7 linked regions of the Oryctolagus cuniculus genome follow. The protein of the gene in region 1 purifies or fractionates together with the protein of each later gene. This does not show direct contact. Links are inferred from orthologs where the notes say so. Each region holds a gene or a part of one and is shown in the gene's direction. Other genes may lie near its edges. The genes, in order: SAP30, ARID4A, SAP130, ARID4B, SINHCAF, SIN3B and SUDS3.

Region 1 (4,556 bases):
TGGGGGCATTTGAGGAGGCATCCACTGGATGGGAGATGTCTCTCTCTCCCACCTGACCCCCACTTTGAACCTTTCAAGTATGTGCATAATATTTTTAAATAACAAAGCAGTGGCAGGTGGCCTTGTGACATAGTGGAGTAAACCACCTTCTGCGAAGTAGACATCCCATTTAGGCAATGGTTCCAGTCCTGGCTGCTCCACTTCCAATTCAGCTCCCTGCTAATGTGCCTGGAAAAGCAGCAGTGCATCGCCCAAGTGCTTGAACCCTGCACCCACGTGGGAGACCTGGAAGAAGCTCCTGGCTCCAGCCCAGTCCCTCCCTTATGGCCATTTGGGGAGTGAACCAGCAGATGGAACATCTCTGGCTGTCTCTGCCTCTCTTAATCTCTCTGTAACTTTGCCTTTCAACAACAACAACAAAAATTTTAAAAAGACTATTAAACCGGTGCGCTGTTACCAGTTAATGCGCAGCTTTTATATTAGCCACGCCCTTCCTCCAAACCCGCCCTCCACCAGCACGCTCCCACATGCAAGCATACACACGTACGCGCGCACATGCACGTACACACACGCGCGCTCACAGGAGCCTGTTGCAACACACACGGCCGTGCAGTCCGCTCGGAGAATGCGGCTTTTCTCCACACTGGGCAGAGCTACCCCTGGGGAGTTTCCGAGGAGCAATCCAAATGACTTAGGAACGCTGCAGTCCGCGCCCCTCTAGACGCCTCTTTCCTTCAGAGGCATCCGAGGAGAAACTGACAAGGTTGGGAATGGAGGGAAAAAGTAGTCCAGTTACTGTCAACTAGCCAGTGATTCTACCCCAGGAAGCGACCTGCTTTTTGCACCTAAGAATGAAACACTGAAGGAACGAACAAGGATTTAGAAAAGGCATTTTTGAGTAGGATCTGTCACTGTCAAGAAGTAGGCATTTCCTTCCTAGCAGTCGTCCCGTTAATTTGCTGCAAGAAAGAGGTGTTTAGGCAAGCAGAGGTGTTAGCTGCAGGACCTCAAAGACCTGGAAAGCGCCAGCTGACTGAATTCTCCTTGGTTTGGTTTCCCTCAAAAGCATAGTTCACCAAAAACGGTTTTACCACACACGCAGAACGGCCCCGAAACTTTTTTTTTTTTTTTTTTGCACGCTCACTTACTCCCCCACCCGCCTTTATGCTTCCCCTCAGAGTCGGCTGACTTCCTCTGAACACCAACCCCGCGAAATTCCAGGAGCTAAACACCACCCAACTTCCAGGGAGACACAGGAGACTAGAATAAACAGCGTAATCCACAACCACACACTCCTGTTTTCCCTGTGCTTTGGAAAAAAAATCGGCCCGCTGTGGCGCGATGCATGCTGGGATGTGTAGTTCATCCAGTTTACTGGACGCCAGATTAGGGCGAAACTCAGGACGACTTCGCAGTAGGGAACTACAATTCCCGTGGTAACTCGCGGCAGAGTGGAAGGGGCGGAAGGGGGGGGGTGCGTCGTGCTTGCGCAGGTCCAGGGGCCGAAGGGAGGCGGAGGCGCCGCGGTCCAAGTGTTGAAGTCTCCATGTGACAGTAATCGGGGTCCCAGGTCCCTGTGCTGCCCCACTCTTGAGTCTTAACCCCCAGCACTGTCCACTCTCCGGCGCCAACGGTAATCGCCAGGCTGGGGACATTGCGTGTTTGGCCGGGCCATCGCCGAACTTGGGGTGCAGAGTGAATTGCCGCCGCCGGATCGTGTGCCCGAGGGACCTGGCGGAGAGAGGCGGAGCGGCGAGACTAGCGGGGATTTCTGTCGGCGCCGGCGCCTCGGAGCGCGGAGACATGAACGGCTTCACGCCTGAGGAGATGAGCCGCGGTGGGGACGCAGCCGCCGCGGTGGCCGCCGTGGTCGCTGCAGCGGCCGCCGCCGCCTCGGCTGGAAATGGGAACGGGGCGAGCGCTGGGGCTGAGGTGCCAGGAGGCGGCGCGGTCTCCGCGGCTGGGCCCCCGGGAGCCGCTGGCCCGGGCCCCGGGCAACTCTGCTGTTTGCGGGAGGACGGTGAGCGGTGCGGCCGGGCGGCAGGCAACGCCAGCTTCAGCAAGAGGATCCAGAAGAGCATCTCCCAGAAGAAGGTGAAGATCGAGCTGGATAAGAGCGTAAGTGACGGCGGGACCGCCCCTGTGGGGCTCCAGCAGCTGGGCAAAGACACGGGTTGTTGGCAAGGTTCAGCCCCCACCCCCACCCCCACCCCCACCCCCGACCTGGCTGCAGTGCGGACTTGCGAAGTCTTAGCTCGGGAGCAAACAACAAAGTCACTGCAACTCCGACCGCCACCCCCAACACGCAAAAACACACGCTGCGGTGCCCCTCCTCCTCCTCCTCTCCCCACCCCCCGACCTCCCGCTGCATGCGTCTCTCCCGCGCAGTCCTCCCTCTTCCTCCTCTGCTGCAATCGGGAATCGAAACAAAGGGGCAGGTCGCACGGAGCACCCGGAGTAGTTTTCTTGCAGCCCGGCAACCCCTTCTTGGAATGGAGGAGCCTTTGTTGTGCTGCCCGAGCTGGCGTGTGGCCCCAGGGTGAAGTAGCTGCCCTACTCTGGGGAAAGTGGAGTCCAATCGGACCTTACACCCAGGAAGGTCCTTGGTCCGGAACACAGAGCGAGATCCCCCCACCCTGCCGCCTCGCGCGGCGCAGGGGCTGTACACCGTGTTTGCAGTGTCAGCTGCTCCGCAGCTACTCTGAACGTGGGAGCACGTAGCCTCTGCGGTCTTGCCATTCGCTTGGCAGCCATCAGGATTCCGTTTTCTGTTCTTTTGACCGACTGGGAGGGTTTTAGAAACACCCATTGCTACTTTTCGGAGTTCTGGCTGGCAATCAATGAATACCAAGCTGTCAGAACCTAGCGCGCGTCCTGCATGTTTTTAACTGAGGCTTAGCTTGAAAATTGTCAAGCCTGTTAGCTCAGCCCTTTTTTTTTTTTTTAAGGAATTAGCTGTCAAAATATGAAGCCCAGTATTTCCGTGTCGCTATACAATTCTCATGAAAATATGTAATTAAAGCTTTTGAAAAGTTTATTGTGACATTTTCTGCCTGTTTTAAACAGCTCTTTAGTGGTATTCGTGAGAAACTTTTCAGGTGAATTTGAATAATTTCAGATTACTTTGTATCACATACAAATACATTGATTTAATACTTAGAAAAATTTATAATTGAAATTTAAATATAGGATAAAAATTAATAGCTAGTTTGGAAAATGTTGTGCCTGTAATATGATTTGGGTAGTAAATTAGATTGGAAAGCATGCATGGTACTACTTAAGTTTGCTCTTTAAGCGGAAAATACTATCAGGTAACAGAATTGTGGTCAACATCATCTTCTCCCTTGCCAGTTAAAAATCCAGCCTGAAATAACTAATTCAGGTCAACCTTTGCAATTTGATGACAAAACCCAGAGGACTGGAATTTCTCATTCTCCTTTTTCTGCCTCTGTCCCTCCCCCAAGTGGCACTACACTCTTCCTCCTCCCACTCCGCTCTGTATTGCCAGACATCTGGTTTAACAAGGCCTAGGATTTAAGACTAGAAACATACTCTTGTCTTACCAATGGCTTGTTTTGACTGTTTTCAATAATTCCCTGTGGCCTATGTGTGTATTAATGCACAGAAACATTTTACTGTAAAATAAGCAGTCTGTGAACTCTTTCTGTTTCAGGCAAGGCATCTTTACATTTGTGATTATCATAAAAATTTAATTCAGAGTGTTCGAAACAGAAGAAAGAGAAAAGGCAGTGATGATGATGGAGGTGATTCACCTGTTCAAGATATTGACACGCCAGAGGTAGATGAAAATTTTTGTATGTTTAATGTAACTCCTAAGTAGTTCATTCTGAAATTTTTATAAAAACATTTGAGGAAATTTTTTAAACATTTAAAACATTTGAGAAATCTGGAAATGAAAGCAAAGTTAAATATACCCAGTTAATAAAAGTTATACAGTTTGAATTATTATATTTTCAGTTGACAACTATTAGAATTTTATTCATATATATAATATATAATACCACCACCAGTTTATAGTATTTATCCCAGAAAGATTAAAGTGTTTATATATAAACCATGGAGTTAAGTTTGTATTGTGCTGAAGTTGAAATTTTGTTCTTGAACCTATCAGTGGTAAATTTTAAAAAAACAGTATGGACTAATTCATATGTGTAAATTTTTTTCTAGGTTGATTTATACCAATTACAAGTAAATACGCTTAGGAGATACAAAAGACACTTCAAGCTACCAACCAGACCAGGACTTAATAAAGCACAGCTTGTTGAGGTATATATGAGTTTTATGTTATTTAAACTTTAAATTAGCTGGTTTGATTTTTTGAATCTTCTGCTGGAATAGGTCTGCATATAAGTTCCTGAATGTTATTTCAATAACTTAACTGATTTAACTATGACAAAATTGTTCTTGTTGATGTTAATTTGTTTTATGAGAAGCATCCATGACTTCTTCTCATCTAAAAAAAAAGTAAAGCCTTTCATTCAAGTTTTTACTGAAAATTTGTTTGGCACAGGACTTCTAGTCCTTATTGAGTTGTG
Region 2 (4,781 bases), on another chromosome or scaffold:
CCAGGGCTGAGCCAGGACAGAGCCAGAAGCCTGGAACTCCACCCTGGTCTCCCACCTCGGGGGCAGGGGCCCCAGAACTCCAGGAACTTCTGCTTTTTTCCCCGGGCACAATCCCAGGGAGCTGGATTGGAAGTGGAGCTGCAGGGACTCAGGCAGGCAGATGGGATGCCAGCCCTGCAGATGGCGGCTCCACCTGCTGGCCCAAAAGAAACAAGAAAAAAAATTTCTATGTCAGATTTTTCAGTACTGGTGCTAGGAACTAGGAGGCAACATGGATCCAGCAAGCAAGGAAGATAATGAAGGGGACTGACTCTCAAGGTGACGGTTAATAAGAGCTGTGGGGTAACACTCGCATGGCAGGAATAGGGAGAAACAGGATAGAAGGGCTCCAGGAAGGCTGTCTCTGAAAAAAATGGAAGGGCCTTGGCCACTGTGGCCATCTGGGGAGTGAACCAACAAATGGAAGGCCTCTCTCTCCCTGTCTCCCCCAAGCCCCCATCTCTCTAACTCTTAAATTAAAAAAATCTTTTTAGAAAGATGATGACAGGGCTGGTGGGCATTTGGCCTAGCTGTTGAAAGTGGTTAGAGAACCTGCATCCCATATAGGATGCCTGGGTTTGACCCCTAGTACCAGCTCCTGTTTCCAGCTTCCTACTAATGCAGACCCCGGGAAGCAGCCGTGATAACTCAAGTGGTTTGGTTCCTGCCACCCACCTGGGAGACCTGGATTGAATTCCCGAATTGCAGCTTGGGCTTCCCAGCCCTGGCCATTGTGGGCATTTGGGGAATGTGGGGAATGATCCAACAGATGGGAGCTGGAATACATGCGTTCGTTCGTTCTCTCTCTCTCTCTCTCTCTCTCTCTCTCTCTCTCTCTCTCTCTAATACATAAAAGGTAAATTGCTTGACAGGCCTAACCAGGCGTATTTCGGGGATGAGTTACTGATAGAGTGACATGTAGCAGATGTGGTCTTCAATCATTCTACTACACATCCAGTGGTCTTTATTTAATTGCAAGAAATAAGATGGAGCAGATAAAAAATGATCAGGCGTCCCATGTTTGTCCTTTACAAGTTTTTGTTTGTTTTTTAAATAACCAGAAGTCTTCCTAGGACTTTTAAACACAAAAAAGAAGAAAAGAGCAAATTAACAAATTGAGATTTCTTCAGAGAATCCTCAACTGCTTTGGGGTTTATTTCTTTAAAGTTTTAGACAACAAAAAGCGTTCTTCTAATAGGCTTCCTCTTTTGGTTTCCTTTTTTGTAGTGGATGTTACATTGAAAGAGTTCTAGCATACGTATAGGAATTTGTCTTCTTGGAAGCCACACCCACAGATATACATCAACAAAGTTAAAACTTTACATAACTGGGAATGTTTGAGTAAAGATTGACAAGAGACAGGAGTGTGTTTTGAGGAAAGACAAGATAAGGGGTGGTTCTGTGGCATAGTAGGCTAAGCCTCCACCTGCGGTGCCAGCATCCCACATGGGCACCGGTTCTACTCCCAGCTGCTCCTATTCCAAACCAGCTCTTTGCTGTGGCCTGGGAAGGCAGTGCAAGATGGCCCAGGTAATTGGGCCCTGCACCGGTGTGGGAGACCCAGAAGAAGCTCCTGACTCCTGGCTTCGGATCAGCCCAGCTCCAGCTGTTGCAGCCATTTGTAGAGTGAACTAGAGGGTGGAAGACTTCTGTCTCTCCCTCTTTCTTGTCTCTAATTCTGCCTGTCAAATAAAATCTTTAAGAAAAAAAAATGATAAAAGCAGAAACTACAAAATGACAAAGTCCACAACACATAAACCCTTAGCCTGTGTTACTATTCCTGGGGAGTTACGGTAGACTTTTCAGGACTTTTTTCCTAGCCACGCACATGCACCTCCATCCTGACCACCATGGTTCCGATTCCTGACAGCAGGGGGGTTTGTCTGGGTGCATTGAGCACTCTTGGGGCCTGTGACCTCAACATAGTCAGACATTCCCTGTCGTGAGAATCTATCTCAGCTTGACCTTGTTTCTGACTTGCGGCAAGCCAGGTTCCTCACTGGGATTTTCCAAGTTGGGATTTCAGAGTTTATTGCTCTTTAAGCTTCACATTTTACAGTGTTTTTAAATTTCTTTTTTAACTTTTAAGTTGTTTAATGGAGCAAAGATGAATTGCATGCTATTGAGCCAATCAAAATGTTTGCCGAAACTTTGCTTATTTCTCATGCAACATTTAGGAGGCCCATGATTGAAATGAATGTTAAGAATTTTGTTTCCTAGTTGCTGTTGGTTAGGCATCTTGGTGTAATGGATTTTGAATCTAACACGGTTGTTTTGCTTCCACAGTGTCTCATACAGGAGCCTCCATGTCATCTGCTTCATCAGACACTGGAATGAGTCCCTCATCCTCATCACCCCCACAAAATGTACTTGCTGTAGAGTGCAGGTGATAAATGTTTCCTCTGCCTTCCCAGCTGCCATGGACATAAATCCCCAAACCCTGAGACACAACCACAGAAAGCACTCAACTGGTTTGACATTGCTAAGTATCTCCTCTATATTCTTCCAGGCTGGATCGTACCTAGTCCCTTCTTATTTCCTTTTTTCTTGTTGAAAACAAATAAGCAGATGAATAATCGAAGGTTAGGCAGCCTGCCATATTTGTCATAACTTTTCCTCTTTCTTTTTTTTTTCATTTTTTGTGATAGAGAAAAAAGGGCACTTAGCAAATTTGAATTTGTATAATAAAGCTTTCAGGTGTTATAGAAATCATAGACAAGCAAGTGCACATGATAAACATCAAAATATTATCCAGCTGAGTAGTTACCGTTGCACTTTCACTGAGATGTGTTTGAACACTTGGTGAGTAGGGGGTTTATGTTGTATTTTTTTGTTGTTGTTTTTATTTTTGTGGAAGCACTTGCTATTTAGAACTGCCAAAGTATATGTTCAGCAGTGTGCCCAGGTTTAAAGATGTAAATGGGACAAAATAAATTGTGAAAGGAAGTGTAGTTGACTGAAAACTACAGTTGTAATAAGTCTTCCACTTTTTATAGGATTTTTGAGCACACAATTATGCAAATATTTTAATGTTTATTAATGTTTACAGTGGAATTGTGAATAAGTTTTCAGTGGACTATCTTATCCCTTGACAAAAATATTTTGTCTTTTTTCTATGTAATTTCAGAGTTTTTATTTTGTTACAAAAAGACAAAAATGAAATATATAACAACAATGAAGTTATTTAACAAGATTTCTAAAGCTGAAAATTTTGTGTAAAATAAGGTATTATCTTGCAACTTGTTAAATATATTTATTCAGACATTGGATGTTGTATTTTTATGTATTTTTTAAAATATTAATAAAATTGAAAAAAAGAAAATTCTAGGTTAATTCACTCTTTGGATGGCAGTAGCTCTCAGCTGTCCCTGGCCTGGTTGAAGGGAGTCTGTCTCAGTCCTTCAAACAGTAGAGAACTATGAATGGGCATCTGGATCAGTAAAGCATGTCCTTGTTTAGAGACTTTGGCAGTCCTAGTATTTAAACTGTTTTGAGGATCAAATTTTTGGTTGCCCTTAAGATACTTTGTCACAGTTTTTATGTTTGCTGTACTGCCGAATAAATTTATATCTCCCAAAGTTGAGATGCAACAACTAAGTAAAGCAACTATGTATGCTTCGTCTGTGAATTGTTCCACAGACTGATACATTTTGTAAATAATTCTTCCAAAATCATGTATTTAAGCAGTTTTGCATATATCTTATGTAAAAAAAAGTGATTTTTTAAAAGCGATTTTTAAATTCATGTTTGTACATTGAAGGGGTTTTTTTTTAAACCTCCTTTTCTGTGTTTAATATGCTGTAGAGTAATAATCTAGATGCTCTAGACTGTATATCAGGATCTGATTTACAAGAACAAAGTCAGAGCTAAACACTAGTGATGACATAGCATTACTGAAATCATTGTTTCTTAATTTCATTTTACCACATTGTGAATTTGTGACTCAGATTCCTTCCATTTTCTCAGAGAATTAAAAACAAAAAAGTACTCTTGTAAAATGCACTTTTCTGTCTTTTCTTTGCAAAGCAGAAGTATTTCAATGTAAAATAAAAAATGGAGCTCAGCGGGCAGTATTAATAAAGGCCATGTTTTAAACATAGGCTTTATATGCTTAGTTTTCATTTAAGTGATTGCTTTTGTTCCTAAGTGCCAATGACTTAAAATTGGAAAATCAGATTTTTCAAAGCAAAGCATTTCAATAGTTACAATAAAGTATTTCTTGTACTTAACTATAAAAATAAAAAATATGTATGTCATTCAATTGGAACTAGGAGACAACCTTACATTTATATGTTCGATATTTTAATGATGTCCCTCAGTAGCAGTTCAATAAATCTGAGATAGCTAAGTTATCAGATTCAGTATTGTCCCTTCTAATTTATCTAAATGTGGTAATGAAGTATTAGGATGTTGCTGCAGAGAACAAAATTATATATTCACTGAATAGGTACACAGTCACTGTTAAAATCATTTTATTTGGCGGCTGGAGAGGATTACAAAATTGAATGAATACTGTCTTCATTTAAATTCACGACAGATCAATTATTGGCATATTTTGAGCTTAGCTAAACTTTGGATAGCTCTTATGGCTACAAAACAAAGTATAAAGACATTTAATGTCTAAAATGGAAAGTTGTTTATATAATGTAGTTATTTAAATATTATGGCACTTCATATTTTAGTATTCCATTGTAGGTTTTTATTTTGTGCCAAATTTCTGATTTTCCTTTCACTAAGGAAGA
Region 3 (4,000 bases), on another chromosome or scaffold:
ACACACAGAGTAGAAATGGAACATATGTTCAACAAAGGACAGGTAAAAAATATTACTATTCATAATGCAAAAAAAAAAAAACCCTCTTAACAGTGAAATGAGTTGAGGTTTATTCATGAAAGTGTCTTCTAACAGTACAGTGGATTTGCAGTTTGTTCACAGTCACATACTTCACGGTACTGAGAACGCGTGCGATCTATAGTAATGTGAATGACTCTCAAACCTGTAAGTGAAGGCAGGAAGGCACAAAGGCCATCTTTGTTTATATGAAGTTCTAAAGTAGGCACCACTGACATATAGTGTTCCAAGTTAGGGGGTGGCCAAGCGTGGCAGGGGTATCCTTTGGGGCTGACTGGAGAGCTTCTGAGGGATCACTGGTGTTTGGTTTCTTGAGCCAGGGCCTCGTTGCTCAAGTGGATTCAGTTTATGGAAGTCCATTGAACTGCGCAATTGGCATTTGCTTGTGCATTGATCTTTATGAAGATTTTACTTCCATGACAAAAAAACTTTAAAAACTCACCCTAAATCAAGAAAGAATGAGAGATTTCTAAAGGTTTCACCAAGTAATAACTGTTAGAGCCATCGAGGATAGATTTTGAGGAAGCTTTATTTTCTTTATGGTTTTCCAAATAAGTTTTCTACGTAAGTAAATTTTATCTTTATGTTCAGAAAAATAAGCATAACAGCAGCATCTTGTGGTTGAGGTGGGGTCGGCATTCTTTTTTTTTTAAAGAAACAAATGTAATTGAACTTTAAAGATTTATTTATTTGAAAGGCAGAAATACAAAGAGAGAAGGAGAGAGAGAGAAAGATATCTCGATCTTCCATCTGCTGGCTCACTCCCTAAAGGGCTGTAACAGCCACGGTTGGACCAGGCCAAAGCCAAGAGCCGGGTCTCCCAGGTGGGTGCAGGGGTCCCAGGCATTTGGGCCATCTTCCACTGCTTTCCCAGGTGCTTTAGCAGGGAGCTGGATCAGAAGTGGAGTAGCTGGGACTTGAATTGAAGCCCATGTGGGAAGCTGGTGTTGGAGGCGGTGGCTCCTCAGATGAAATTGTTTTTTATCCTGTGTTGTACTTGCAGTGATTTGAGTTTATTTTGTATGATCATCAGACCCTATGTTCGTAAGGGTGCAAAAGCCACAATATCCAGGATAAATCCTGTGTTCTGCAGTTAGGACCCTCAGGGCTGATTTCCCCAGCAGGGGAATCTGGTGCCCAAGTTCTCATTGTTAAGAAAACCTCTCAAGGAAATGGCCAGTTTGTCAACTCTGAAACTTAGCGCAAGTGCCACTCTTAGCTGTGCTGCCACGTTGATTACCGTTGGGAGATCATGCCATCCTGTCTCACCCTTACTGTCTTTACCAGTCAATGATGAATCTGGGCGAGATGCCGAAGTCAGTGCCAGGGAGCACATGGGTTCCAGCAACTCCCTCCAGTCTCGGGAAGAGAAGCAGGAGCCTGTTGTGGTAAGGCCCTATCCACAGGTGCAGATGTTGTCTACACATCACGCTGTCGCATCGGCCACACCTGTCGCAGTGACAGCTCCACCAGCACACCTGACGCCAGCAGTGCCACTCTCATTTTCGGAGGGACTCATGAAGGTAATGGAGAGGCTTAAAAGTTTGCCCTGAACCACAGCTAACGACCAGCTGATACCTGTAACAGTGTTCACAGAATCTCAGGCTGTGTCCTAGGCTCACACTTGGATTTTTTCTTTTTCACGTGTCAGTTCAGCTGTCCTCCGTAACTCAGAGCCCTGCTGTTCTGCAGTGTCTGGCTTGTGTGGCCAGGCAGTCGGCATCACAGCCTCTTTCCCCCGTTTTGATACTGATATTATTCAGCTTAGGGACTTACTAAGTTTTTGTCTTAAGAGTGGCACTCTTCAAGGTTTGTTTTACTAGCTGGCTAACTTGGGGGTATCTGAGAATACTGTCTTGCTTGTGACCTTGGGTTATGTTTCAGTTACTGGGAGTTTTGTTTACTTCCACCCAAACTTGGGAGGCAGCATTGTGTAGAAGTGAGGGCATGGGCTGGGAGCCATACAGATCTGGGCTTTATTCCCAGTTCGACTTTTTACTGTCTGTGTGGCTTTGAAGGAGTCACTTAGCCTTGCTTTGTATGTTTCCTCCTCTGTAAAGTAGAAATGCTAGTACTTCAATGCAGACGCTGTTATGCTGGGGGAGAAACTGTATAAGACGTATGGCGTCTTTGCTGGCACTCTCCAGCTTTGATTTGTGTACTTTTAACTCGAGAGTGGAATGCATCGCTAGTATGAGGCTATTGATGTATTTCTTATGGTTTTCTGTTTGCAGCCGCCCCCGAAGCCCACCATGCCTAGCCGTCCCATTGCTCCTGCTCCACCTTCTACCTTGTCACTTCCCCCCAAGGTTCCAGGGCAGGTTACCGTTACCATGGAGAGTAGCATCCCTCAAGCTTCAGCCATTCCTGTGGCAACAATCAGTGGACAACAGGTTTTTTTCCTCTTCATTTGTTGATTTTCAAACTGAGATGCAAAACTGTTAACCCTTATTTATTGAATTCCAGCCGAATACTAGATAATGTCCTAAAAAAGCTGGCGTCTTTAAGGGGAGGAGGGTGAGGATGGGAGAGCTACCTTAGGGAGTAGAAGCCTGTATTCATAGTGGTAGTTTGGGTAGTATTGGTTTGTTTGTTTTTATCTGCAGGAAAGGCAGAGAGACAGTGGCAGACAGAGATCTTCCCTGCTCTGGTTCACTTCCCAAATGCCTGCAACAGCTGAGGCTAGGCCAGGACAAGACCAGGAGCCTGGAACTCATCTGGGTCTCCCACGTGAATGGCAGGGATCGCCTGCAGCCTCCTGGAGCACACGTAGCAGGGAGCTAGAATCACATGTGGAGCCAGGGCTCGGACCCAGTCACTCACAGGGGATGGGGGCGTCCCAAGCTGTGTTTCCATCCCGGGCAGTATTTTTAGAGCATCTGCTGTGGTGGAGGGCCTGCCCCCTGTGGGATAGACATCTAGATACGACAGCCGTGCTCTTCAGGAGTTGAGGCAGGCAACTCTGATAGGGCAGAAGCTTCCCAGCAGAAGAGGGCGTAGTGCCCTGCATTTTCTCCAGTTAAGTGTGCATTTCTTGGGGTGCTGGTGTGTTCCCTCAAGCAGCCTCTACTTGTGAACACTTAACTTGGCATCTCTTAATTTTTTTTTGAAATTTTATAATCCTACTCCATTATGTATGCTTGATAGTGGCGTCCAATATAAATTAAAACAAATTTAAATTATTTACTAATAAAAAACTGAGTCTCAAACTCTTTCCCTTTATGCTTTCAAAAAACACTGATAACTGAAAAGATGTGCTGTGTTTTTCCCTTTTGTCCTAGTGTTGGGTACTTGTGGAAGTGTGGGAACCTCCACCTGAGAAACGCTGGTATCAGAGATGTAGGGAAGCGCGAGGAAGGGCTATGTCAGGCATCAGCTGAAAAGCTGGTAGGGGAGTAGCTGTGGGATGCTGCCCAGCATGTACTTAGAAGACTGTCCGTGAAGAATGGAGGGATACAGTGGCATGCAAAGAACATAGGGCGAGGCAAAATAAGCATTTGGCCAGGATGAAGAAAACAAGCATGAAAGGCTAATGAATGGCAGATGAGAGTTTCTAAAAGGAAGCAGCCAAATACGTCATCTGTTCTGGGGCCCAGCAACTCGGTGAGCCTGGAGCAGGTGCTGCGTCCTCACAGTTGCTTCTCTCGTGCCTGTTGGCAGGGGTCATGATACAGTCTGCTGTATAAAAAAAAGCTAAAGGCCACGTCCTCAGCCCATTGCCTTGGGGCACACATTGTCTAAAAGGACTGACATGACCTGGGTTTGGAGGCCCCTGACTTCCCAAAGGCAGTGGTTCATAGCAAGCGCATGGAAGTAACGCTACATCTCGTTCCTTTCAGGGACATCCCAGTAACCTGCATCACATCATGACCACGAATGTACAGATGTCTATCATCCGCAGCAACGCTCCCGGGCCCCCGCT
Region 4 (4,000 bases), on another chromosome or scaffold:
TTAAAAAACTTTCGTCTCTTAGAAATTTTGGTTTAGGAACCTGGGTGGTTTCATACTTACTATAATTGAGTTTATTTAAAAGTCAGATGTCCTAATATTTCAACATTTGTTATTTCTGAGGTCAGAATAGTAAAAATTTTTGGTATAAACCAAATTCTGAATGTATCAAATTTGGTATTTTCTTTGAGACTTGAACCAATATATATATATATATATACACACACACACACACAGACACACACACACTTATATAAATGTATTATCTATCAAAATCTTATTACTTTTTCATTTTTTTGCACTTGAGCTTAACTTAAAGGCTGAGAAGTGATCCACTTTTTAATTTGGGAAGTTTCATTTCATTTTGTCCATTAGATTGAAAGTGGAGCTGTTTGGAAACAAGTCTATCAAGATCTTGGGATCCCTGTCTTAAATTCAGCTGCAGGATACAATGTTAAATGTGCTTATAAAAAGTAAGTGTACTTGATATGGCTATTAACAGTATTTTATCAAGAAAATAGAATAGAACTTACCATATAATTGAGGCTGATTATTTCTTTGAAAAAATTCAGAAAACTCTACTAACACTTTTTGATAGCATTTTCTGGACAGTATGCTATGAATATTAAAATATATGGGAATTTCAAAGTAGAAAGGATTTTTGGCCAACTCCATTTATAAAATACTTAATAGAGGTTTAAAAGTGGATATATTTGGGGTGAGCATGTGGTGTAGCAGTTGACACCATTTGGGACACATGCTTCACATATTGGAGTACCTAGGTTTGAAAAGTACAGTCTCTTGCTTCTAATTTTAGCTTCCTGCTGATTTGCCCTTTAAGGTAGCAGGTGATAGCTCAAGTACTTGGAGAACAAATAAGTGGGTTCCTGCCACCATGTGGGAGACCCAGATTGAGTTCCAGGCTCATGGATTGTGGCTGTTGTAGGCATTTGGGATATGAAACAGTGATGAAGATCTTTCTAATTCATTAATTAATTTTTTCAAAAACTGATGTTCCAATACAACTGGAAACCATTATACTTAGTGAAATAAGCCAGTCCCAAAAAAGACAGATACCATATGTTTTTCTCTGATCTAAGGAACTAATTGGGTACCTAAAATGTAATGTATTGGAGTGTAACAGACATTGTAAGATTCGATGATTGTTTACAGCCCTTGTCTCTTCCTTTGAGGAGCAGTGTTGTTTTTCTTCACACTATTTGTTGAACTCTTTCACTTAGTGTAGGGTTAACCTTACCATCATTAAGTAAACTGAAAATAGATCTTTGTAAATATTAGAGTAGAAATGGGAGTGCGAGGAAGAAGAAGGTTTGGAGCATGGGTGGGAGGGAAGGTAGGGTGGGAACCATCGCTATGTTTCTAAATCTGTATATATGAAACTTGTGTAACAAATAAAATTTGAAAAAAAGAGCTGATGTTCCAGATTCAACGAAATCTGGGTATGAATCTGATTCTGCCGATTCTTAGCTATTTATTCCCTTGGATCACTTATTTGTTCTCCTAAGCCCCATTTTCCTCATTGGTAAAATTGGATAATGCTACTTGACTTATGGGATTATTCTAATGATTAAAGGAGATGTGCTAAAGGACCCAATGCCTCACACATAAAAAATCCTTGACAAATAGATTTTTTATTTTTTTTGACAGACAGAGTTAGAAGTGAGAGAGAGAGAGACAGAGAGAAAGGTCTTCCTTCCATTGGTTTACCTCTCAAATGGCCACTACGGCCGGCGCGCTGCACCGATCCGAAGCCAGGAGCCAGGTGCTTCCTCCTGGTCTCCCATGCAGGTGCAGGGCCCAAGCACTTGGGCCATCCTCCACTGCCTGCCCGGGCCACAGCAGAGAGCTGGACTGGAAGAGGAGCAACTGGGACTAGAACCTGGACTACTGGCGCCGCAGGCGGAGGTTTAGCCAAGTGAGCCACGGCACCAGCCCGACAAATAGATTCTATATAAAAAAGAAAAAGAAAACAAATAGACCCTACATGTATTACTAATACTTTGAATAGCTGCTATTGTTACTGTTTTTATATTTAATATTATTGCTATCTTCACTCTGTACAAATTCTTTTAATGAAGTTTTTGGAAAAATTTTTCTATTTTTTAAAATTAATTAATTAATTAATTAATTTTTTGACAGGCAGAGTTAGACAGTGAGAGAGAGAGAGACAGAGAGAAAGGTCTTCCTTCCTTCCGTTGGTTCACCCCCCAAATGGCCGCTACAGCCGGCGCTGCGCCGATCCAAAGCCAGGAGCCAGATGCTTCTGCCTGGTCTCCCATGCGGGTGCAGGGCCCAAGCACTTGGGCCATCCTGGATCCACTGCCTTCCCAGGCCATTGCAGAGGGCTGGACTGGAAGAGGGGCAACTGGGACTAGAAGTTGGGGTGCCGGCGCCGCAGGTGGAGGATTAGGCAAGTGAGCCATGGCGTTGGCCAAAATTTTCTATTTGTAATAGAATGCTAATATGACTAGCTATCTGAAATCTTAAAACAAATGAATATACCTTTTAAATTGAACTATTTCCACCAAATATTTTTCTTTATGTTTCCAGATACTTATATGGTTTTGAGGAGTATTGTAGATCAGCAAATATTGAATTTCAGATGGCATTGCCAGAGAAAGTTATGAACAAGCCATGTAAGGAGTGTGAAAATGTAAAAGAAATAAAAATTAAGGAAGAAAATGAAACTGAGGTCAAAGAAATAAAGGTTGAAGAGGAGAGGAATATAATACCAAAAGAAGAAAAGCCAAATGAGGAGGAAATTGAAAGAAAGGAAAATATTAAACCCTCTCTGGTAAATCAGTATTGTTACTTGTCCTTTGCCTTCTTTAATATATCTGCTGCATCCTCTATAAATTTCCTCAATTTAATTCATTGTATAAATTTACAGTTTTTATTTGTATATTTTCTTCATTAAGGGCTACATTTGTATAATTTTGATTATAGTAGCCTCTTAAAATGGCTGTTAGATATTTTTGTCGTATGTTTTATGAATGGCAGAAGTTTCTTAAAAGTAATAATTCAATATTAGTATTTGTCGATACCTCCTCTTGTTAAACAATCAAGATCATGGATTTAGGTTATACATTTTTACTTTGGTTGCTTTAGCTCCTTTGATCTTTTTCTAGGGAAGTAAAAAGAATTTATTAGAATCTGTACCTACACAGTCTGATCAGGAAAAAGAAGTTAACATAAAAAAATCAGAAGAAAATGAAAATTTGGAAGATAATGATGATACAACTAGGGTAGCTGAATCCCTCAGCATAAAGGTAGAAGCTGAAGAAGAAAAAGCAAAATCTGGGTAAGAAATTTGTTTTTGGTTACATTGCATTTTGATTAGCTGATTTTTTATATCTTGTTCTTGATATGTATGTATGTATGAATCTAAATCTGATGACAAAATACGTAGTGCTGTGCATTTTTAAATAAATGCCTCCTTCAGAGACCCTACCGATATAGATTTTTAGAGAAAGATCATGTTTTTGATCCATTCTTGCTCTCATCATTGAAATTCATACAATTTTTAGCTCAGTAAAAGTACTTTTTATTGAATTAAGTTTTGCTCAGTGACCAGATAATATGGATTTAGAAAGATGTCCTTTTCTAAAGTTTTGTAGATGGTATGTTGGTTATACATTCTAAGAGTTGTGTTTATTTATTAAGCAAAAAGTAATATGGAAAAATACTAATTAGTTTCTTAAATGCCAAGATTGCTTATTTGCGTTTTATGTGATAGTAACATTATTTGTTTTGGTCACTTTGGAATGATGAATGATTTAATAATGTAATTGATACATTTCCAGTGGACCCTTGGACTTCATAGGTAACGTTTGGAGTTTAATCTTATTTCTGAGGTTTAAAAAACATAAAAATCTCTTGTTAAATGCTCATTTAAATAAGAATGACCAATTTTTTTGATCATTTTAGTAGTTTTCTGAAATTTGGCCATAACATGCAAACAGGGAAGATAAAAGAATGTGGG
Region 5 (4,529 bases), on another chromosome or scaffold:
AATTAGAAGTTAATTTTGGAGGGTTTTTCATAAACCGAGTCAGTATCTGAGACCGCCAAGGACAACTTTTAAAACTGTCTTCAAAACGAGGGAGGCACAGACTTCCCCCTGGGGTCCAGGTTGTCCATGAAGTTCCTGCGACCAGTCCTGGTCACTCGGTTAGGATGAGGGCTGCTTCCTGTGGGTCAAGCTGACCCTGCACGTGCAGAGTGACTTAGGTCATCTATCAGGCTGCGAGGCTGCGGGAGCCCGCGATCGAGCTGCGGTCCGCAGGAGCACACTGCCCACTGCCCACGGACGGACCCAGGCCCTGGAGCAGGGAAGCCAGTCGCCGCGAGGGAGCCCCTCTCCTGGGCGAGGCGTGGGCCCTGCGGGAGCTCCGCTTGCAGGTGCAGGACCTGAGGAAGAAGCAGCCGCGGGGGCTCGGGCGCTTCCGCGTCGGCGGCAGGCACTGGCTGTGTCACACCCGCGTTTCCCAAGTATCGACCTAACTCCGCGCGTGGACACTGGCCGGCACGGCTGACCGTCTCACGTCTGCGGCTGGGGACTAGAATGCCGTTTCTGGGACGAACAGCCTTTCCCCGCAGCCTCCCGCGGCCTGGGGCAGGTGCCCCGCGCACCGGAGCAAGGTGACTTCCGCGAGGGGATCCTCCGGGCGTGGGTGCGGGTGCACAGAGCCTGCGCGTCCCCGGCTGCGTCCCCATACGAGCACGCCCGTTCGTGGCGTGGTCTCCGAGTTGCACGAGTTGGGGTGCGTGGGCTACCCTGGGGGAGAGGGGCCAGCGGGAGCCGGCGGCCACACGCGCAGTCCAAGCGTGACCGCGCGGACACGGGCTCCCTGCGGGCTCCGGGGGACTCGCGCACGCGTTTCCAAAAAGCTGCGAACACGCAACTTGCAGCCAAACCGAGGCAGCGTGTGCACTCTGCCCGCGCGCTGTCGCAAGTCACAGGTGCCAGCAAAACCGGCCTCCAACACTCCGCGCTCCCCACGCCCACCCCCGCCGCGGCCCACGGGTCCACCGCGTCCCGCCGCGGGCGTTTGTTTACGCGACGTTGCCGTAGTAAGCAGGCCCCGCCCCCGCCGCCCGCGGGCCGCCGCGTTTCCCGCGCCGCGGCGCTTCTCCCCTTAAAAGGACAATAGAGGCCCCGGGAGCGCGCGCGGCCGCCTCGCCTCCTCCCCGCCCCGCCCGCGACGCGCGCGCGCCCGCATGCAAATGAGCCCGATTCAAGAGAATTTCTTGCCCCGGGAGCGCGCGTGCGCAGAACGAAAGCGGAATCTACACCTTCCCGGGCCGCGGTAGCAACTGCAGAACTGCAGGAGACAATCTTTCTAGACAAGGCGGCGGCGGCGGCGGCGGAGGAGGAGGACGGAGTGCCTGGAGGGGGCCGGCCTGCGTGCACCGCGCACCTCGGGAGCCTGATCGCGCGTGGAACGGCTGCCTCGGGAAGGTGAGCGAACTCTGACGGTCGCTGGGCTGCAGGACTGCGTGCCGAGGCTTTGATTTCCGAGTGGGGTGTCCTCTGTCTCCAGCTCACCCACCTCCCCGTCCTTGCACACACAGCCGACACGCTCACCGCACACGCACACACAGGAAGTTTTGTCTGGGAGGTGGCATGCCGGGCGCCCCGTTTCCGCGATCGCCAGCCCCCGGGTCCTTTTGTATACACGCGTCTCGGGTGCCTGCTTCCCCCACCGGGGCGGGTATCTGAGGCAAACCGAAAGTCCTGGGGTGGGGGGAGTGCGCGGAGCCTGGAAATGACCGGGGAGTCGCGGAGTTGAGGGATCCACGTTGAAGGTGACAATGACTTTTCTCCGCCGCAGCGTGCCCCGGAGGCTGCAAGGCCCGGGCGGAAAGGGACTTGCGGGGCGGCAGGGGCCGGTGCGTCCGCGTGGACGCTGGCCGGTGGCGGAGGTGGGGGGGGGACACTCCGGCGCCGCACCTCGTGGTGTAGCCCATGGCAGCCCCTCTCGCGTGTCTCGCCGAAGGGTGGACAATGAGCGCCATCCGCCCCAAAACTAAGTTGCCTTCCGCTTCCGCGAGGGGGGTTTAAATGGGCCTCTGGGTGCAGCGCCGGGCGCCTCCGGGGCGCACGCGGCACGGCGCGGTCCGCCCAAGTCCGGAGGGATGCGGCCGCGACAATGAGCCACACGCGGTCGCCCGAAGACGGCCCGGCTCCCACGCGCCCGTCGCCCCGGGGCGGTGCCCGCGCAGCCCCAAGTTGTGCCACCCGTGCGTTCACCTGTGGCGTAGGTGTGGGCGCCGCGGCGTGGCGCGGGCGCCGTCTGCGGTCCAAGATGGCCCGGGGAGCCGAGCCGGGGGCGGCCGGGTGGGGGGGGGTAGGAGGCAGGCAGCGGCGGCGCCGCTCGTGGGGGGACGCGGGCTGGGGGTGGGGGGGCACTGCTTTTTGTGGCCTCGGTGACAGACCACGTGCTGCGGGTTGCCCCGCTGCTCCGGAGCGGCGACCCGTCGGGCAGCCCCCGGCCCCGCAGGACAATGTGATCCGCCGATGATGGCGTCCTGCCAGTTTAAAAAGCAGAGCGAAAGTCGCCAACTCGCCCTCCGCCCGTGCCGGGGGTGCGCGATCCGGGGCGTTTCTCCTCCAGGGCGCTGCAAAAACTTTGGTTGGTGGGATGGGCCCCTGCCCCGGCGTGGCGGCCCCGCGCCCGGCCCCCGACTGGCGCTCCGACATCTGATGCCGCACGTAGGCAGCGCCCGGCTGGACGGAAAACAAAGGGCTGCATGTGCCCGTGCGGGCCCCGCCGCGGGCGCCGGCGCCGAGGCCCGTGCGGGGCGCGGCCCCCTAAGTTCGGGCGAGTTTCGGGAGGGCTTTTGTCCCTCAGCCCCTCGCGGGGAAACTTTGGCGGCGCGGCTCGTGCGCGGTGCCATGCTGGAGCACCGGAGGCGGCGTGCTTCCCCGCCCCGGCGCGGCGCGGGCGGGCGAGCGGGCGGCCGGGGGAGGCGGCGGCGGCGGCGGCAGCCCCCCGCGCGCCGGGCCCTGCGCCGGGGGCCGGAGGGCGCAGCCCGGACCTCTCGGCCCGTTAGCCGCGGCCCGGGAGCCTGCGTCTGGGAGGTCTGTGGCTTCGCCTTTGAAGTCGAACTGTTGCCATGTTTGAATTACGTCAGGGCAAAGCCATGAGGAGGAACAAGCCCCGGCAGCGCGGCGTGCGGGAGGCGCGGCCTGCGGGAGGCGCCGCGCCGGGCGGGCCGGAGGGCGGGCGCGGGGGGCCCGTGGTTCCGGCGCAGGTGAGGGGGGCGGCGGCGAGGGACGCGGCTCCCCGGCGGCCGCCCCGGGCCCCGCAGGAACTTCGCCCCGGGCCGCGGCCGTCTTGCTGACCGGCACATCCGCCGGCGGCCGCCGCGTGCCCGAGGTGGACCCGCAGCGTGAGGGGGAGCGCCGGGGCCGCGGCGCGCGGGCGTCTGCCCCCCGCACCGTCCGGGCCCCCGCACGTCCCGGGGACGCAGCCCCGACGCCGCCCGGAAAGGCGCGGAGGGGAAGTTTCGGGGCTCCCCGCGGCGCGGCGGGGGAAGTGAGGCGCGGGGGCGAAGCGAGCGCGCCGCGGGCTCTTTGTGTGTGGACGCGTGGGAGGCGGCCGGCGAGGTAGGTTTCGGGGCCCGTGGGTGGTGCGGGGTCCGTGCCGGCGCCCGGGATCCGCTCCCACTCGGCTCCTTTGTTGTTCCGTTCACGCGCTCACCTCCGGCTCCCGCAGCCACCCGGGAGGTGAGCAGCGACTGTCCGCCGGACAGTTGCCTCCTCGCCCCTGTGCTGTGTCCCCACTGAGGAGGGGGTCAGGAAACTCACTGCTCCGCTTTTCATAATGAAAAGAAAAAAAAAAAAAGCACCTGCTTTTGGACCGGAGGGTGCCCCTGAAGCCTTTTCCTGATGCGCCTTGCAGGACCAGCACGTGCCGTTGCCCCAAACGGAATTAAATGCAAGTCCCAGAGTTGATGGTGGAGTTCCGAGAAGAGCCTGCTGGCATTTCAAGTGTTTTGGGAACGATGAGGGACCGCGGCATCTTCTCTGGCCGGGAGGGTATCGCGGTGGCTCGCTGCCTTGTCTTGGGGTGACCTTGAGGGAAGCCAGGGTTTTGGGGAGGATGACATGGTCGAGGCTCTGCAACCTGCCCCGTCTCCTCTCCGGTTCTTGTGAACCGGGCTTGACCTTCTGCTGACCCCTCCTCGCTTTTCTTTTCAAGCCAACTTTTTTTTTTATTGGTATGCGGCCCCAGGCATAGCTCAGAAATTATGCCGGTTTGACACATGGATGCTTCTTTGGAATCCGGGGTTTGCCTGCAGTCTAGACGTCCGATAAGCAGCAGCTCCGGATCTGTTGCTGCTCTCCTCATTTCTGCTGCGTTTGGGTCTTGTTGAAGGTTAGAAGTGGTCATGACTGGAAAATAATAACCTTGAATGCCCTGCCCACACACTCCCAAAAGTCCACACAAGTTCAGATACATTTTTTGTTTTGATTGTTTGGTTGTTAAAGAATTACGTTTTTCCCAAGTTTTGGTCGACCAAATTCATAATACT
Region 6 (4,000 bases), on another chromosome or scaffold:
TCCGGGCGGCTCCCGGGCCATATTTCTTTGCACCGTGCTCAGGTATATAGGACGTAAAAGTCACCATGCTGAGCGGAAGTGCAGCAGCCGGGACTCAAACCTGCACCTGTATGGGATGCCGGCGCTGCAGGCAGGGGTTGTGCGGGCTCGAGCCGCGAGGCCCCGGCGCTGCTGGGATGGTGGGGCCACGGCGTTCTTCCACGAGAAACACCGGAGACAAGTTAACCACCACACAGGTGGAGGGGGTGTGGCTAACTCAGGGCAGCGCTCACCCTATAGGGGAGAACCGATATGGGATATGGGTGCCGCTCTGCTTCTCCAATCAGCCCCAAGGTCACGGAGCTCGGCTAGCACCCCAGGTGGTCCTGATGGGCCTGCGCCACACCCGGGAGCTCCCTGTTACAGGGAGCCGGGTGGGGAAAAGTGCCTGCCAGCAGTCAGGGTGTGGGGCCCCTCCAGGAGGCCTGGGGCTCCCGGCTGTCCACCTCCTGCCCGGGCAGGGCAGACTCCCTGCCAGGCACAGCGTCACCCTCACTGCTTTCTTTTGTACTACAAAGGAGCAAGCTTGCGTAACTGACTTCCAAATAAAAGAGGGAGACACAGAGCGCTTCCACCCACTGGTTCACTCCCCAGTTGGCCGCAATGGCTAGAGCTGGGCCAGGCCAGAGCCAGGAGCTCCATCCGGGTCTCCCACGTGGGTGCAGGGGCCCAAGCACTTGGGCCATCCTCCTCTGCCCTCCTGGGCCACTGCACGGAGCTGGATCAGAAGTGGGGCAGCTGGGACTCGAACTGATGCCCATATGGGATGCCTCAATGCCAGCCCCGTGAAACATACCTTTTAATTCGCTTTTTGGGTAACCTGTTTGAAGTTCCCTCATGTTCTGACTGCCAACTTGAGTGCAGCTGGCTGGTTCCTGTCCTCTGGCCTTGGCCCCCCGGTGCCGGTCACTGCCTTGATCTGGTCGGGCCGCCTGCCCAGCGTGGCCCGCTGCTGGCTCCCCACGCCTTCTGCGTGGGAGCGGCTGTGCGCCCGACTCTGACCTTGTGGTTCCCCAGCCCCCGGGTGCCCATCTGCAGCCGGGGCTGAGACGGCTGTGCACCGGCCGGTCCCCGGAGGCTTCCGCCTCGTGCAGGCCCCGGGGAGCCCGGCCCCCCGGCTGACGCTCCCTCCCCGCCCCCTTGCCTCCCCGGGCGGCAGAAGGAGCAGCTGGGTGCCAAGGGCCGGCCGTTCCGTGGCATGTCGGAGGAGGAGGTGTTCGCCGAGGTGGCCAGCCTCTTCCGCGGCCAGGAGGACCTGCTCTCCGAGTTCGGCCAGTTCCTGCCTGAAGCCAAGCGCTCCCTGGTGAGTGCCCGGGCCCGCGCCAGGCCGGCACACCGCCTGGACCCGTGGGCTGCCCCCAGCCCGCGCCGGCTGCACCGTGTGGCCACTCCACCCGCAGTGGTTCTTAAACTGGCGCTGGGGGCGGGGGTGGCCACCACCTCTCAGGTGCTGGGTGGGACTGGGGCCGGCCTCGGGGTGGATGGGAACGTGGGGGTGGGGGGGAGGGGGCAGGCCGCTGCCGGTGCTGTCTTGTCCACTTCCTCTTTTCTCACCCTCTTTCCAGTGAGCCTGCAATTTTGGTTTTTTCCTTTTATTGATGTGGAATTCAGGCAACAAAATTCACCATCTCCAAGTGGCGTTTGGGGCACTCACAGGGTTGGACAACCTCCGTCTCTTCTCTGGCCCCATCCTAGTGCCTGGAGCTGGGTGCCCTCAAGGGCCTGGACTCTGGGGGCTCCAGCCCTCCTGACCCCCCAGGTCGTGTGTCGGCTCCCTGTCATGTGGGGACCCAGCAGGGCAGTAGCGTTCTTGCCGGAGAAGCAGGTGTAGACACGGGCACTCGTGCAGGAGGAGGTGTAGATGCTGGGCATTTGTGATAGAGAAGCAGGTGTAGATACTGGGCCCTCATGCAGGAGAAGCAGGTGTAGACGCGGGGCCCTTACGCAGGAGAAGCAGGTGTAGACGCGGGGCCCTCACGCAGGAGAAGCAGGTGTAGACGCGGGGCCCTCACGCAGGAGAAGCAGGTGTAGACGCGGGGCCCTCACGCAGGAGAAGCAGGTGTAGACGCGGGGCCCTCACGCAGGAGAAGCAGGTGTAGACGCGGGGCCCTCATGCAGAAGCAGGTGTAGACGCGGGGCCCTCACGCAGGAGAAGCAGGTGTAGACGCGGGGCCCTCACGCAGGAGAAGCAGGTGTAGACGCTGGGCCCTCGTGCAGAAGCAGGTGTGGGCTGGAGCTTGCAGGCTTCGCCCTGCCTGGCCTGGGGAAGACCCCCGGGAGTACTGGAGGCGGGGCTACGGGAGTCCCCCAGGGACAGGGACGGCCCTCTTCCGCAAGCCTGTGTCCCGGCCCCCTGCCCTCTGATGCGCCTTCCCCTGAATTCCGGGCCCTGCCCGCTCTCAAGTTCAGAATCTGCCCTGTCCCCTGCCTCTTCCTGGGGCCCTGGCTGCCTGCCCGCTCCAGGGACTCGGTACCCGCGGAGCAGACGGGTCTCAAGGCCTGCCTGTGTGGCGCAGCCGCGTGGTGGGCCATGTGGGCCCCCGTGTCCCCCCGCTGTCCCCGGGGCCGCTGGGTGTTGTTTGTGGGTGGTCCCCCCTGGGTCTGGGTGTCACCGCTGTGTCCCACACCTGCAGCGCTCCGCCTAGCACGCTGCCCCCAGATGGGACCTGCGGTGTCCACGCTGGGCTCCCCAAGCCACCGCTGCAGCACTGAGCGGGCAGGGCGGTCTGGCCCTCACGGTCTCAGGAGGTGCTGTGGCTGCCTCCCGGAGGGGAGGCGCTGGGGTAGGAGCCTGGGGGATCAGCGCCCCCTGTGGGCCGCGGGGAGGAGGCCGAGAAAAGTTTGCTTAGGGAAGTCCCGGCCGGAGTGACCCCCCCCCCCCGTGTCCTGGGGTCAGTGTTGCACGTGGGGCTCCGTCTACTGGGCTGTGGGGCGTGCACAGTGGACACTGCCATGGGGGAAACAGGCCGGCCGATCTGTTCCTGCCCAGTGGGTGTCGGGGGTGGGGGGACACTCTGGTTCTCTGGTGGCTGTGGCCACAGCGCCCTCTGGTGGGCGCAACTCAGCCTTCGCCAGGCGGCCCTTCCGATGCGGGAGCCGCATCGCCCAGGAACAAAGTCAGTGTAGCATCGTTAGTGACTCGGGCACAAGAGCGCCCTTGTGCGTTGAGAAAGAGCTGGGCCGGTCCAAAGCCAGCAACCATCCGGGTCTCCCACGCGGGTGCAGGAGCAACCACTGCTTTCCCAGGCCATGGCAGGGAGCTGGATCAGAAGTGGAGCAGCCGGGACTCGGAGCGGCGCCCACATGGGATGCCTGCCGGCGCCGCGGGCGGCTTCCCCACTGGGCCGCGCTGCCGCTGTATGGCCCGCACTGCGGGTGAAGATCCTGGTGCTGAGTCGGCCGTTCCAGAGCCGCTTGTGTAGGCCCGGGTGCCCGCTGGGGAGAAGCAAGGGCTGGCGGCTAGCCCAGGAAGCAGGCCCCCCACCAGCTCCCGGCCCAGCCCCCTTATGTCCCACAGAGGAGAGAGCCCGGCCGTGTCGGGTGCGGTGGGTAAGACGCCCGCATCCCACAGCAGAGCACCTGGCTCCACTTCCCACCCAGCTCCCTGCAAATGTACCTGGGCAGGCCCCGCCCCCACGTGGGAGACCCGGATGGAGCTCCTGGCTCCTGGCTCCAGCGCTGGCTGTTGTGGACGGCTGGCGGGCGTGCTGTCACTTTTGAAATAAGTAGAAGTAGAGAACTTTTTTTTCTAAAGGAAAGAGCCCAAACCTTGGTGTCCAGGCTCCCATCGGTGGCCTGGTGCACAGCAGCCCCTCCCCCCCATTTCCGGGGCGCTCACGTGCAGGCGGTGGGGTGGCCCCGGCGGGGAGCACCTCCGGCAGCTTCTGGCTTCACAGGCGCCTGCCTGCGGGGCTCCGGGCCCCTCTTCCTCCCCCGCCGCAACCCGGCCCCCTCGCTGACC
Region 7 (4,000 bases), on another chromosome or scaffold:
TTCCTTTCACTCTCGAGATCCGATGAATCTGTAGCTTCGTAATTTGAGGGAGGGGATATCCCCTAGCTTTTGAGGTTGGAGAGATGATTGCAGTGTTAGACTGTGGGGCTACGTTTCGAGAGGATTGTACACCTAGATCAGCTGGTCTTGAATCTTATAAACATGAACTCTGAAATCTAATATGAGCATCTGGCTTGGGCCATGTGTAGACCAAACATTCCCCAGTGAAATGGTTCTGCATGAGTGACTCTGGGGTAGGTAATTCTTATAGTAGAGAAATTCTTACTGACTGGGAATTAGATTTGTCCATTCTGTTCTTGCCACAGATTCTATGGAAGTGAAACCCATCATGACCAGAAAGTTGCGGAGGCGACCAAATGACCCTGTCCCCATCCCAGACAAGAGGAGAAAACCTGCTCCTGATATCCATTTGGATCAAGTTTTAGTCACTTTTTTCTCTTAAGATTGTAGAATCATTTGCCTGTCCATTTGATAGAGTATATATGGCTGTCGTCTTACAGAGCATAGCAACATTTGATTGGAAAGCATCTGTGAGTTATCCATCCACAGGTTGCGGCTGGGCCATTTTATTATCGCAGTCCGTAATTGCTAATTGCTGCTATTAATGGGAGAGATTTATAGAGAGGAGTTATTTGAAAAGGTACTTTGTGTTGGAAATCCAGCCGGGGCAACTGAAAAATTAATGTGCCTTAATTTTTCCACCTGTAAAATGAGGATAGTAATATCTGCCTTTATGTGCCTCAGTTACCTAAATCCCTAAAGTAGTGGATTGAAAACTGTTCTTAAAACAGATGAGATTTAATTCAGATATAAAGCAGCCTCTTTAATCATAAAAATGGGAATGATATGTGGGGAGAAGTGTGTGTGTGTGTGTGTGTGTGTGTGTGTGTATGTATGTATGTATGTATGTGTGTTTTGAGTAAAAGTCTTCAGATCTTTGGAACAAAAGCAGCCTATAAATTCAGGATGAAATTCTTTACTATTTCCTGTGTTCTTGCTATTTTACATACCTACTGAGTCTCATTTTACCTTCTCATCATAGTTTGTAAGGTTGGGGATGTAAATTGTTTTTTATAGCTGGACACCACGACATTTAGTAGGGAAATCAACTTTGCAGGAAGCAAAGTATTATAAAAGTATCATTTAACAAAGCTACATTTTGTAAGCTCTGTAATACTGGTGCCATTTTGTTGCCTTCTGTTTCTTTGCAAACCGTACTTTTCAGACACATTCCTTTAACTCTCAACACCTCAGCTAAACTATTTGTTAACAGATGAACAGATCATGGAGGATCTGAGAACGTTAAATAAGGTACAATTTGATTTTTTCTTAAACTTCTTTGGAAGTCAAAGCTTGACGTGGTTTCCTGCTTCACTTTGTTGTATTGCTTTTACATCATGATACCTCTGACACCTTCAGTTGCTTCTGAAATGATTTTCTCTAAGATTTTTTTGTTGTTCTTCCTACAGCTTAAGTCACCCAAGAGACCAGGTAAGTGCATTATGTTATTGGCGTTTGCAATCTTTTTATTGTATTGTTGTAAAAGCATGCAAATACATGTCAGTGAATTGTTGATGTTTCAAAAATAAAATATTTAGTGTGGGCCCAAAAGCAGTCATGATGAAAACTGAAAGGGATCTTAAGTGTGTCCCTCCTTTGACTATCTTTTTTTTTTTACCTTGGTATGTCATTCTTGTCTTTTCTTTAGGATTTATTATAAAAGACTTTTGACTGGTAGAGGTTCTTTCTATGTGGGCATCAGGCGTAAGATTCAACTTGATATGCATTTTTTTGACAATGAATTATGAAGGGTTTTCCAGTAGGACTCACATTCTGAAGTGAAGCTAGAGGCGTTTCCACGGCCTGATTCTGCTGCCGCGTCCTTGCTATAGGAGAAGCTGACCCAGTGTTCACAGTGGTTTCTTCCAGGGCAGCACTTGAGGGCATGCCAGTTTGCATACTGGAATAATTGCTTGGTAAGGCCTTAAGTGTGGGGTCACTTACACATCCCTCTCCCCACTAAGTTTATTGCAGGCAAAAAGCAACTTGGTGTAGACACAGTCCTGAGTGCCATAGTAGTCCACAGGGACGTCTTGAAGGGGAGAGGGCTTTGAGTGTGTGACCCTACTGTAGTTCTGGAAATTGTCGTTTTTTGAAAGAGATTTTCATTGTTCCTGCCTTTTTTGGACTTCCGATCACCAGGGATTTATTCTTACTCTGATTGTGTATAACTTACACATTGGACCTTAAAGCTTCCTGAGCCTCAGGTTGCTCTTTTGCTCGGAAGGTTAAGTCTGTGACTTGACTACCTCGTTAGGTTGCCTTGAGGGTCAAATTAGATGCAGTGTACAAGAACTGTGTTGAATTCCCATGCATTACTAACATTATAGGAGCTTGAGGGTCATGATTCCACTGCATTCTGATGGCAGTTCAATTATAGCATGCTGGGTGGCGGGCTCAACACGTGTTTGGTACGTACTTAGTCATTCCAGTGTGTCTGGTTCCTCCAGCATCCCCATCCTCTCCTGAACACTTGCCTACTACACCTGCAGAGTCTCCTGCCCAGCGGTTTGAAGCTCGGATCGAAGATGGCAAACTGTACTATGATAAAAGATGGTATGTTACGGGAACACCTGGATTACTTTAAGAGTCTAATAAGAACCAGTTGGAGAGGATCTGGGGCTCTCTACAGTTGTGTGTGTGTGTGTGTGTGTGTTTTTTTTTTTTTTTTTAAGACTTACTTATTTATTTGAGAGGCAGAGAGAGAGATCTTCCATGCTCTGGTTCACTCCCCAAATGGCCACAATGGCCAGAGCTGGTCCGATTTGAAGCCCGAAGCCAGGAGCTTCTTCCAGGTTTCCCATGTGGGTACAAGTGCCCAAGGACTTGGACCATCTTCTGCTTTCCCAGGTGCATTAGCAGGGAGCTGGATCAGAAGTGGAGTAGCAGGACTCAAACCTGCCCCCATATGGGATGCTGGCACTGCAGGTGGCGGCTTTTAACTGCTGTGCCACAGCACTGCCCCCATCTACAGTTGTTTTTCAGAGCATAACTGCAGAATAACTTCACAGTAGTACAAGTGGAACTCCATTTGAAAATGTTCCAGCAGTTACGTGTTGGACACCTATGTTGGATCTCAGCACAATTTTTGAAGTGTGTGTGTGTCTCTGTGTGTGTGTATTTAAGAAGATGTATTAATTTATTTTGAGGGAGTTATGGAGAGAAAGGGAAAAACAGAGAGATCTTCCACCTGCTGGTTCACTCCCTAGGTGGCTTCATTGGCTGTAGTATATGTTTCTTTTTGCCTCCTCTGAACTCTGCCCCTGTGTGCTCAAGTTAATAGGTGTTCTGCACCTAAAAGGATTTTGTGATCACATCAGTTTGGGAGAAGACCATGTTAATTAAGATAAATGGCGGGGAGGGCCAGTGCTGTGGCATAGAAGGTTGAGCCGCTACCTGTGGTGTGAGCATCCCATATGGGCGCCAATTCTTGTCCCAGCTGCTCCTCTTCTGATCCAGCTTCCTGCTACTGTGCCTGGGAAGGTAGTGGAAGATGGCCCAAGTCCTTGGGTTCCCGCCACCCATGTGGGAGAACTAGAGGAGGTTCTTGGCTTCCGCCTGGCCCAACCCCAGCTTTTGTGGCCATTTGGGAAGTGAACTAGTGGATGGAAGATTTTCTGTCTCCTCTTTCTCAGTATATCTGCCTTTCAAATAAATAAATCTTAAAACAACAAAAAGGTAAATGGTTTTTGTTCTTGTAGCCTTCTTTGGATCCTGTGATATGCTGAGGTGCTCTGAATTTCTAAGATTTTAGGTATTTTTTGATAGCTGTATCTTTTCTTCATGCATCATCCTGCTATACAAGTGTACCAGGAAGCTTACTTGGGGGAATTGCATCCTAAAGCATTTCTACTTGAGAGTGAAGAGTGTTTTAGACCTTCAGACTGACAGCATTTTTTAACTAGAAAGGAAGTGGCAA

The links.
Region 2: the proteins of SAP30 (region 1) and ARID4A purify together in Homo sapiens (affinity purification with mass spectrometry; 5 studies listed by BioGRID and IntAct, with this or other methods). This does not show direct contact. The link is inferred for Oryctolagus cuniculus from reciprocal best matches to the Homo sapiens genes SAP30 and ARID4A.
Region 3: the proteins of SAP30 (region 1) and SAP130 purify together in Homo sapiens (affinity purification with mass spectrometry; 4 studies listed by BioGRID and IntAct, with this or other methods). This does not show direct contact. The link is inferred for Oryctolagus cuniculus from reciprocal best matches to the Homo sapiens genes SAP30 and SAP130.
Region 4: the proteins of SAP30 (region 1) and ARID4B purify together in Homo sapiens (affinity purification with mass spectrometry; 5 studies listed by BioGRID and IntAct, with this or other methods). This does not show direct contact. The link is inferred for Oryctolagus cuniculus from reciprocal best matches to the Homo sapiens genes SAP30 and ARID4B.
Region 5: the proteins of SAP30 (region 1) and SINHCAF purify together in Homo sapiens (affinity purification with mass spectrometry; 4 studies listed by BioGRID and IntAct, counting the BioPlex papers as one, with this or other methods). This does not show direct contact. The link is inferred for Oryctolagus cuniculus from reciprocal best matches to the Homo sapiens genes SAP30 and SINHCAF.
Region 6: the proteins of SAP30 (region 1) and SIN3B purify together in Homo sapiens (affinity purification with mass spectrometry; 4 studies listed by BioGRID and IntAct, with this or other methods). This does not show direct contact. The link is inferred for Oryctolagus cuniculus from reciprocal best matches to the Homo sapiens genes SAP30 and SIN3B.
Region 7: the proteins of SAP30 (region 1) and SUDS3 purify together in Homo sapiens (affinity purification with mass spectrometry; 4 studies listed by BioGRID and IntAct, with this or other methods). This does not show direct contact. The link is inferred for Oryctolagus cuniculus from reciprocal best matches to the Homo sapiens genes SAP30 and SUDS3.

Annotation. Positions count from the first base shown.
Region 1 is NC_091433.1:55,749,936-55,754,491, forward strand, and holds the start of SAP30 (histone deacetylase complex subunit SAP30), read left to right. Parts: upstream 1-1,465; 5' UTR 1,466-1,803; coding exon 1,804-2,118; intron 2,119-3,673; coding exon 3,674-3,799; intron 3,800-4,188; coding exon 4,189-4,287; intron 4,288-4,556. UniProt on the Homo sapiens protein: Involved in the functional recruitment of the Sin3-histone deacetylase complex (HDAC) to a specific subset of N-CoR corepressor complexes. Capable of transcription repression by N-CoR.
Region 2 is NC_091443.1:18,443,030-18,447,810, reverse strand, and holds the end of ARID4A (AT-rich interactive domain-containing protein 4A), read left to right. Parts: intron 1-2,325; coding exon 2,326-2,429; 3' UTR 2,430-4,138; downstream 4,139-4,781.
Region 3 is NC_091434.1:118,460,875-118,464,874, reverse strand, and holds part of SAP130 (histone deacetylase complex subunit SAP130), read left to right. Parts: intron 1-1,365; coding exon 1,366-1,601; intron 1,602-2,312; coding exon 2,313-2,471; intron 2,472-3,917; coding exon 3,918-4,000. UniProt on the Homo sapiens protein: Acts as a transcriptional repressor. May function in the assembly and/or enzymatic activity of the mSin3A corepressor complex or in mediating interactions between the complex and other regulatory complexes.
Region 4 is NC_091444.1:54,475,589-54,479,588, reverse strand, and holds part of ARID4B (AT-rich interactive domain-containing protein 4B), read left to right. Parts: intron 1-372; coding exon 373-470; intron 471-2,568; coding exon 2,569-2,812; intron 2,813-3,146; coding exon 3,147-3,319; intron 3,320-4,000. UniProt on the Homo sapiens protein: Acts as a transcriptional repressor. May function in the assembly and/or enzymatic activity of the Sin3A corepressor complex or in mediating interactions between the complex and other regulatory complexes.
Region 5 is NC_091440.1:127,601,805-127,606,333, reverse strand, and holds the start of SINHCAF (SIN3-HDAC complex-associated factor), read left to right. Parts: upstream 1-1,317; 5' UTR 1,318-1,449; intron 1,450-1,657; exon of another isoform or gene 1,658-1,796; intron 1,797-3,256; exon of another isoform or gene 3,257-3,600; intron 3,601-4,529. UniProt on the Homo sapiens protein: Subunit of the Sin3 deacetylase complex (Sin3/HDAC), this subunit is important for the repression of genes encoding components of the TGF-beta signaling pathway.
Region 6 is NC_091447.1:65,109,601-65,113,600, forward strand, and holds part of SIN3B (paired amphipathic helix protein Sin3b), read left to right. Parts: intron 1-1,198; coding exon 1,199-1,342; intron 1,343-4,000.
Region 7 is NC_091452.1:14,546,757-14,550,756, forward strand, and holds part of SUDS3 (sin3 histone deacetylase corepressor complex component SDS3), read left to right. Parts: intron 1-326; coding exon 327-422; intron 423-1,270; coding exon 1,271-1,332; intron 1,333-1,490; coding exon 1,491-1,512; intron 1,513-2,531; coding exon 2,532-2,637; intron 2,638-4,000.